Linked DNA regions of Saccharomyces cerevisiae S288C. The gene in region 1 interacts genetically with each later gene. Each region holds a gene or a part of one and is shown on either strand. Other genes may lie near its edges. The genes, in order: ALK1 and RAS1.

What was found.
Region 2: of ALK1 (region 1) and RAS1, changing one suppresses a phenotype caused by changing the other (phenotypic suppression), as found in Saccharomyces cerevisiae (one study listed by BioGRID).

The regions. Positions count from the first base shown.
Region 1 is NC_001139.9:453,218-457,567, reverse strand, and holds ALK1 (protein kinase ALK1), read right to left. Parts: upstream 2,784-4,350; coding exon 501-2,783; downstream 1-500. Other genes in the region: GET complex subunit GET1, read left to right, coding at 1-405; dolichyl-diphosphooligosaccharide--protein glycosyltransferase subunit STT3, read right to left, coding at 3,008-4,350. UniProt on the Saccharomyces cerevisiae protein: Serine/threonine haspin-like protein kinase involved in cell cycle regulation.
Region 2 is NC_001147.6:513,112-516,673, forward strand, and holds RAS1 (Ras family GTPase RAS1), read left to right. Parts: upstream 1-2,132; coding exon 2,133-3,062; downstream 3,063-3,562. Other genes in the region: CRC1 (carnitine:acyl carnitine antiporter), read right to left, coding at 184-1,167; OST2 (dolichyl-diphosphooligosaccharide-protein glycotransferase), read right to left, coding at 3,338-3,562. UniProt on the Saccharomyces cerevisiae protein: The S.cerevisiae Ras proteins modulate the activity of the adenylate cyclase catalytic subunit and therefore affect the biosynthesis of cyclic-AMP.

The DNA.
Region 1 (4,350 bases):
AAACTCAGGTTATTGGCATTGACGGTGCCATTTTTTGTGTTTAAGATTATGTACGGCAAGACACCAGTTTACAAGTTGAGTTCCTCGACTAGCACCTTGTTCCCTACGTTTGTAAGTGGTGTTTGGTCTCAAGGCTGGTTATATGTTCTCTTGCATCCTCTAAGGACTATTTCTCAGAAATGGCATATAATGGAGGGCAAATTTGGTGCTTCCAAGTTTGATGATATGGCTTTACAGAGTGTCTCTTTGGGAATCTGGGTTTGGGCATTGATGAATGTCATCAACGGCGTGGAATTTATCGTTAAGCAATTGTTTTTGACTCCCAAAATGGAAGCACCTGCATCTGTGGAGACTCAAGAGGAGAAAGCCTTGGATGCTGTCGACGATGCCATTATTTTAGATTAGTGTTATTACATTATGTACGTATATATAATATGTTTATGTATTGGAGTATACAATAGAAAGAAAATGAAATATAAATGTCAACATTCCTATTTGTTTTATTTATAAAGTTTTAGTAAATCTCCAGTATTCTTAATGTCCTCCGTCTCCAATCTTTTGAATAACTGCCCCCCTCTTTTATGAACTGCCAAGTTCATTTCCAAATGGTTTATCACCCTTGCCATTTTATCCCTGTTTGCATCATTCTTACCAAGCTTCCTGTCACCAAACTTTAGTAAAACGCGTGACAGGTAATATAACCAATACAAATTTGTCATGGGCTCAAAAGCTGACGCGTCCATGTTCAACAAGATCCGCATACTTTGATAGATTTCAAACTCAAATTGATACTGGTATTCGTTTATTTTACTCTTGTCTTTCCCATTTAGAAAAAAGAGTGGATGATCTAGCCGTAGATATAAAACATCATCTTGAGGAGTTTGCAATCTACTGCATTTAAAATCAATAATTGTTATATTCCCATTACCATCTATCAAAATATTATCCAAAGTAAGATTACGATGTTCAAATTTCAAATTTTTTTCCAACCCATGAATTATACCAGCACAAGACCAAAAAATCTTTAGAATCTGCTTCCAGTTTTTCAGTGAGATTAACGAAATTGGGGTACCGTGATCTTTGAATAGTAAGTACAAATACAACCCCCCATTTGCCTCTTTAACAACAAAACTTTTCAATAGTTGCGGTATGCCATCAAATTTTTGTTGCATGATTTTGAGTTTTTCCAGTTCCTGCAAAGATAAGAACTTTCTATCCCATGTAATGTCATCAATAGTACCGAGAGAAACTTTTTTACAGATTACTTCACCAATTTGCCAAACATTTGATGTTAATTGTATTGATGACAAATGGTTTACATCGTTGATTAAAGGCAATACATCTCCTTTTGCGGGGTTTAAAATTCTCTTTATATCACAATTTAGTAAAATCTGTCTTAGAAGTGTCTCATCATGATCATTTTTGTTCATCGGTAAAGATGATTTAGAATTTAATGAGAGTAATGAGGTCGAATATCTTAATTTGTTCTGAATTTTATCACGGGAAACTTGGTCCGGTACAGGTAACGATATTCGGTGACTCAACGTAGAATTTTTGGAACTGTAGCTACAAGAGTCATCATTGCTGCTATTAGTTGCTGTCGATGGTGCTATCATGGAGGACTTTCCTTTGTTTCTTTTGAATTTTTGTAAGGATGCATGTGAACTTTTGTGCTTCAAACTTGATTGCGAATTCCTTTTCTTCAACACGTTCAAAGATAGACTTGAGGAAGAAGCTTTGTTTTTCAAAGTAATTTCCATGGAAGATATTGTATCGCTGCTTTCAGAATACGTATTTGAACTGAAGATAGTCTTATGGAAATCTGAAAAGGATGTCTTATGTTTTACCATATTTCTTGGTTCAACGGGCGTCATGGAATCACGACGGTTTACTGCAGGAAAGGTTTTTAAAGAATGGTGGTCTGGTTGCAACAATGCAGGTGTCTGGTTCTTATTTCTCTTCCAGAATCTCCATTTAGACGAGCTGGAAGAAGAGACAGTGGAAGAAATCGACGATCTTCTCGAGGACAATGATGCATTATATAGTGGTTGTTGCTGTTGTGGTTGTGAAGTGGGCCTTTTAGAATGATTAACAAGCGGCTTCAATGGTGTCCTAAGTCTGTTTTCCGAACTAGTGGAAGCAATTGATGAATTTTTTTTGCCCATAGTTGGAGGCAGATTTTCCTTACCTTGCGGAATCCCGATCCCAGGTTGTGATATATCATCGTTTATGCCTATCTTGGTAAACAATTGTCTGAGGGAAAGACCAGTGGACGATCTTTTCAAAGAAGAAGAAGCAGAGATAGAGCTATTAGATGCTACCGTATCTAAGCTTGAATAACTCTGCAAGGATTTTCTTTTTTGTTGCAAAACGTTCCTCGATTCCCTGTCCTTATGAGATTCACTGGTAAAGCTTGAAGAAAGTACAGACCATCTTTTCTTAGATTTAGATGATGAAACAGCAGAATGATTGGATAATAGAGACCATCGTTTTTTGGAATTGGAAGTCGTTTTCCTTGATGTATTATTGCCGGTGGTAACATTTAAAGATGCATCAGACTCCCTCATCTTTAAGATAGCAGAGCTTTCCAGCTCGTCAGCTGTGTCAGCAGTCAAATCAGTGTCACAATCGTCATCATTATCAGATACCTCTAGAGCAATGAATCGTTTATCTTCGACAAATTCTTCGAACGACGTTTCAAAATCCATGGGGGGCTCTACTTGGTGCGATTTAAGGGTATGACTTGATAGTAATTGAATTACAATGTCAAAATGAAGTAGCATTTAGAAAAACTACTTCACATCAAATACTTAATAAATAAAAATAAACATTGATAAAGTTGTTATTTTTTCTATTGTTATTTTGTTTACGTTTTACCAAAAAGGGCAAAGACGATCCGTCACGAGCGATCATAATAACGGGAAGGGAAACCAAACTTATACTTATTTGTTTATCTTTTTATATATGTATATTTTATCTTAGTCATTTCCTTTAATGTGTGGCCAATTTAGACTCTCAAGCCTAATTCAGGTCTCTTTATGGACCTTCTGGTTTTCGTAGAAGACCTGGTTAACTCACCAACGTCCCTCAAAGTTCTACCTTGGGCATCATCCTTCTTCAATTGATATATTCTAACCATCCAGTTTTCGGAAGTAAAAACTTCGTCGAAGTAGTCTAATGGTGGGACGTCTAATGGTGTGATCATTTGTTGACGCACTCTGTCAGTGGCTTGGCCACCATTGAATAATTGTGGGAAATCTTTGTAGGACATCTTGTAAAGTAGCGAGTTCCTCATGGTCTCAGAAGCCCTTGCATCTACTCTGTATTCTCCCTCTGCGGTATAGAAATCACGCTCTTTTATCTCTTCTGGCCAGATTCCCTCGCTAATTCTGATCATCCACAAGAATTTGTTGATGTCATCACCACCAAACCCAATTAGACCACCAAAGATGACCAAGACATAATCGACATCATGCTCTTTTAGAATTTCGTAAGATTTCTCTTCAGGGGAAGCCATGGCTTTACCAACGATGGCGATGTGAGTATTGTTCCACGTGTTGTTATCGACTAAAGTGGTTCTGTCTGCCATGCCACCAATTTGGTAACCGTAATCCCACCACGCTGCAACCTTACTGTCCTCATCAGAGTTCATTCTTAACCAATAGTACGCTTCCCTGAAGTCGTCGATCAACGCCAATTTACCATCTGGGGTTTGTGATGGCAAAACAACAGAAGGAGAAGAGTATGCAGTTCTTGTTACCCAAGTAGAATGGAAGACGAAAAGATACAAATAAAAGATGAATGATCCGGAAACAATCAATTTGGCCAGTAGTGCCGCAGGTTTGATGGCGTATTTGCGGTCACTTGTCTTGAAATCCAGGTAGATGTCAAATATCTTGGACAATGCGACGGCGGCGGACACACAGATGACTGGTGTCAAAGTCAACATCAATCTAACCATAACACCGGCAAAGTACGAACACAGAACGGAGTAAGCGATGACAAAAACGTGCTCGTCTTTCAAGTCGAGGAATAGTAGGAATACACCGGCGGGGAATAGCCAGATCAAAAAGTGGGTATCAAAGAAGAAAGCGGGCCACGAAACGGGTTGATGTTCGGAAACGGAGGCAATGATAGGAATGTGGATCTTTGCGTAGTTGGTATCCCATAACGAATAAAATCTACCAGTCCAAGGGGCAATCAACCCCATATAGGTCAAGGCAGAAAGTCCGACCACACCAAGGACCAAGATCAAAAACAGAGAAACCATCATGATGACTTTAAACTTAGCTGTGCTGATTTGGCCCTTCACGAAGTCACCGAAGGCGACAATCTGAATCAAACCGAAAA
Region 2 (3,562 bases), on another chromosome or scaffold:
TATATTTACTCCATTGCGTTACAAATATGAACGCTTCGACAACAACGCCAAGGAAACCGGGATAACCCAACTGATATTTTCTACCATACACTGAACGAAATTGCAGAACCAAAAAATAACAAAAAGTTCCCAAAAGGAATGCCAGAAAAAAATGGGAGGCAGGTCCACCTAACAAAAATTTAATCATATGCCATACTTCTTGAACAGTGAATGAGTCATCTCCACACCTAAAAATGTGGCCGCATTGGCTGGGAAAGATCTTAGTAAAGCAGGACCTAAACCAGGGAAAAATCCCTTGATACCACCTCTTTGTAGATAAATTTCCTTTGTGGCGGAAAGCATATTCTGCCTCGTGGAGGAAGCCTGCAATTTTGTCTTTATAGTGTCTATGGGGAAAACAGCTAGCCACATCGACATACCAGCAATACCACCAGCAAGACACACGTTCAAGATATTGACCGGTTCATCTTTGCCCGCATCTTGACGAGGTTGCCTACTATTCAAGTAATTTTTTGAAATTTCATAAGATGCAAAATATAGAGCTGAGCCAGGCCCATCTCTTGCTAAAGTGGCTAATGAACCTTTAAATAAAGAAGCTATGCCACCTTCTTTAACAATGGTTTTAGCCGCCTGAATGAAAGAGCCCTTAGAAGATGTTTGCAGGACAACCTTTACTCTTTCCGTTGGCGCAGTCACTAAAGTGGTAGGAATAGCGCTGATAAATCCTGCTGCAGCCATTTGTCCCATAGTTAACTCGTTACTGCCTCCTTGCTTGTTATTAAAAGTAACCAGTTTCTTACCCACATCGTAACCCCAGAAAGAAACAGCGAATATGGGAGTAACACCTAATAAGGGCGGGATAACACCTTTATAGAACCCCTTTACGGAATTGGTAAATAATGTGCCCTTTACTTGAGTTTTTGCTTCTTTTATAATATTTGTAATGGCATGTACCGTGGAATTCGCTTGTCCATTTTGACATCTCACTTTAATCAAATCGAAGGGATGACCCGTAAACACCGCACATACCCCGCCAACTCCACCGGCCACAAATGATTTGATATTTTCGCGTACAGGGTTTGATTTTATAGGTGGACGAGACTTGGTCAAGCTCCCACTCTCTTCTTTCAATAATGAAGATTCTGATAATGAAGTGTCTGAAGACATTACTGACACGATGACGTTTGTGGAGGATAAGAAAGTCGTACAATACGTAGAATCCAAGGAAAACCTGGAATAAAAACACACATAGAGCGCAATTGAATATCGGCTATTTCTACAGTACAAGCGTCTGCCTATATATGCGCTTGAAATATATCTATTTCGACTAAAGGAATTATACCATCATGCATCTTTACTCTTAAATCTCCATTTGTCCACCGACTTATTGCGGCAAGTGGAGATCCAGTCACGCCGGATGACTGGGTGTAGATAAATAGCCGCCCAACTGATCCCTGCATAAAGCTTATATGCGGATATTAGGAGCAGTAACCCGATGACATTAAGCGTGTAGCCACAAGGAACTTCACCATTACTCATAGCAGAAAAAGCAGTGACCAAAAAATGGCAGGAATGACTCTTTTCTGTTTCCCCTCATATACACTGAAACATCTCGATATAAAGCATGCCCTTTATTGTACCATCAATGCAATGTAACGGCAAACGAGGCTAGGAATATGTATTACCCGCACTGAATTGCTTCTTCACTTAGCACACCCTTGATCGCTATGTTCTACGCTGCTACCCGTTCGGTAGGGAGTGGCGGGGAAATTCACATTGGCACAATGTAAACCCGTAGGAAAAAAAAAAAGCACGAAGAAAAAAAAAGAAACCAAAAATATTTACTACATGTAAGTCTATGGACATTTGACAACAAACTTTTTCAACTCATCGCAAGATTATGAATTTTTCACGGCTTTTCAGGTTTTTTCCTCCTTTTGTTTTACATTGAAAGGTTTATATTTTATGTCTTTGTATGGTTCTCTTAATTTGGATTCTTTCTTGTACGGTGTCTCTATTATCATCTGTCTTGTTCTTTCTTGCAATGCTTAATTAACTGCTGCCACAATTGACTTCGGTTTGGCTATTTCACGATTGAACAGGTAAACAAAATTTTCCCTTTTTAGAACGACATGCAGGGAAATAAATCAACTATAAGAGAGTATAAGATAGTAGTTGTCGGTGGAGGTGGCGTTGGTAAATCTGCTTTAACAATTCAATTCATTCAATCATACTTTGTGGACGAATATGACCCTACTATCGAAGATTCTTACAGAAAACAAGTTGTCATCGATGACAAAGTATCCATTTTGGACATTCTAGATACTGCTGGACAAGAAGAGTATTCTGCGATGAGAGAACAGTACATGAGGACTGGGGAAGGTTTCCTACTGGTCTATTCCGTCACCTCTAGAAATTCCTTTGATGAGTTACTGTCTTATTATCAGCAAATTCAAAGAGTAAAAGATTCTGACTACATTCCTGTAGTCGTGGTAGGTAACAAATTGGACCTTGAAAATGAAAGACAAGTCTCTTATGAAGACGGGTTACGCCTGGCCAAGCAGTTGAATGCACCCTTTCTAGAAACGTCTGCGAAACAAGCCATCAACGTAGACGAGGCCTTTTATAGCCTTATTCGTTTGGTAAGGGACGACGGTGGGAAATACAATAGCATGAATCGTCAACTGGATAATACGAATGAAATAAGAGATTCGGAGCTAACCTCATCTGCAACAGCGGATAGAGAAAAAAAGAACAACGGGTCTTATGTACTCGATAATTCTTTGACCAATGCTGGCACTGGCTCCAGTTCAAAGTCAGCCGTTAACCATAACGGTGAAACTACTAAACGAACTGATGAAAAGAATTACGTTAATCAAAACAATAACAATGAAGGAAATACCAAGTACTCCAGTAACGGCAACGGAAATCGAAGTGATATTAGTCGTGGTAATCAAAATAATGCCTTAAATTCGAGAAGTAAACAGTCTGCTGAGCCACAAAAAAATTCAAGCGCCAACGCTAGAAAAGAATCTAGTGGTGGTTGTTGTATAATTTGTTGAAAATGATCCTGCTCTCTTGATATGACATGGTTTTGATTGCAAGTCTATTCTTACTTGTTCAATTGGTTTCACCAGCATCTTTTTGTATCCATTTTCCTATGCTGTGTATCTAGTAAAAGAGTTGCTTGCCACCAAACATTAATACTAATGGTTAATCTGCCACCTTTTGTAAGCTTTCTATAATGTACAATTGTAATATGTTCTTTTATTCTCGTACAAAGTATATATACTATACACATACAAGCATGCATGCAAGCACGCCGGCAAACCCTTCCTCAATTTATAAAATGTAAACAAACGAAATGTAAAATCAAACTAGCAACAATAAACTCGGCAAAAGCTCTGTTTTTAGAAATGCCTGGAAAACTATTACACAATTGTAACCGCAAACTCATCAATAGGACGAATTGTCCCACACAAATAATGAATCCCGCTAAAAACGCATTGAATGGAAAATTATCACGGATCAAGATAATGAATGTACACTGGATCACCCCTAA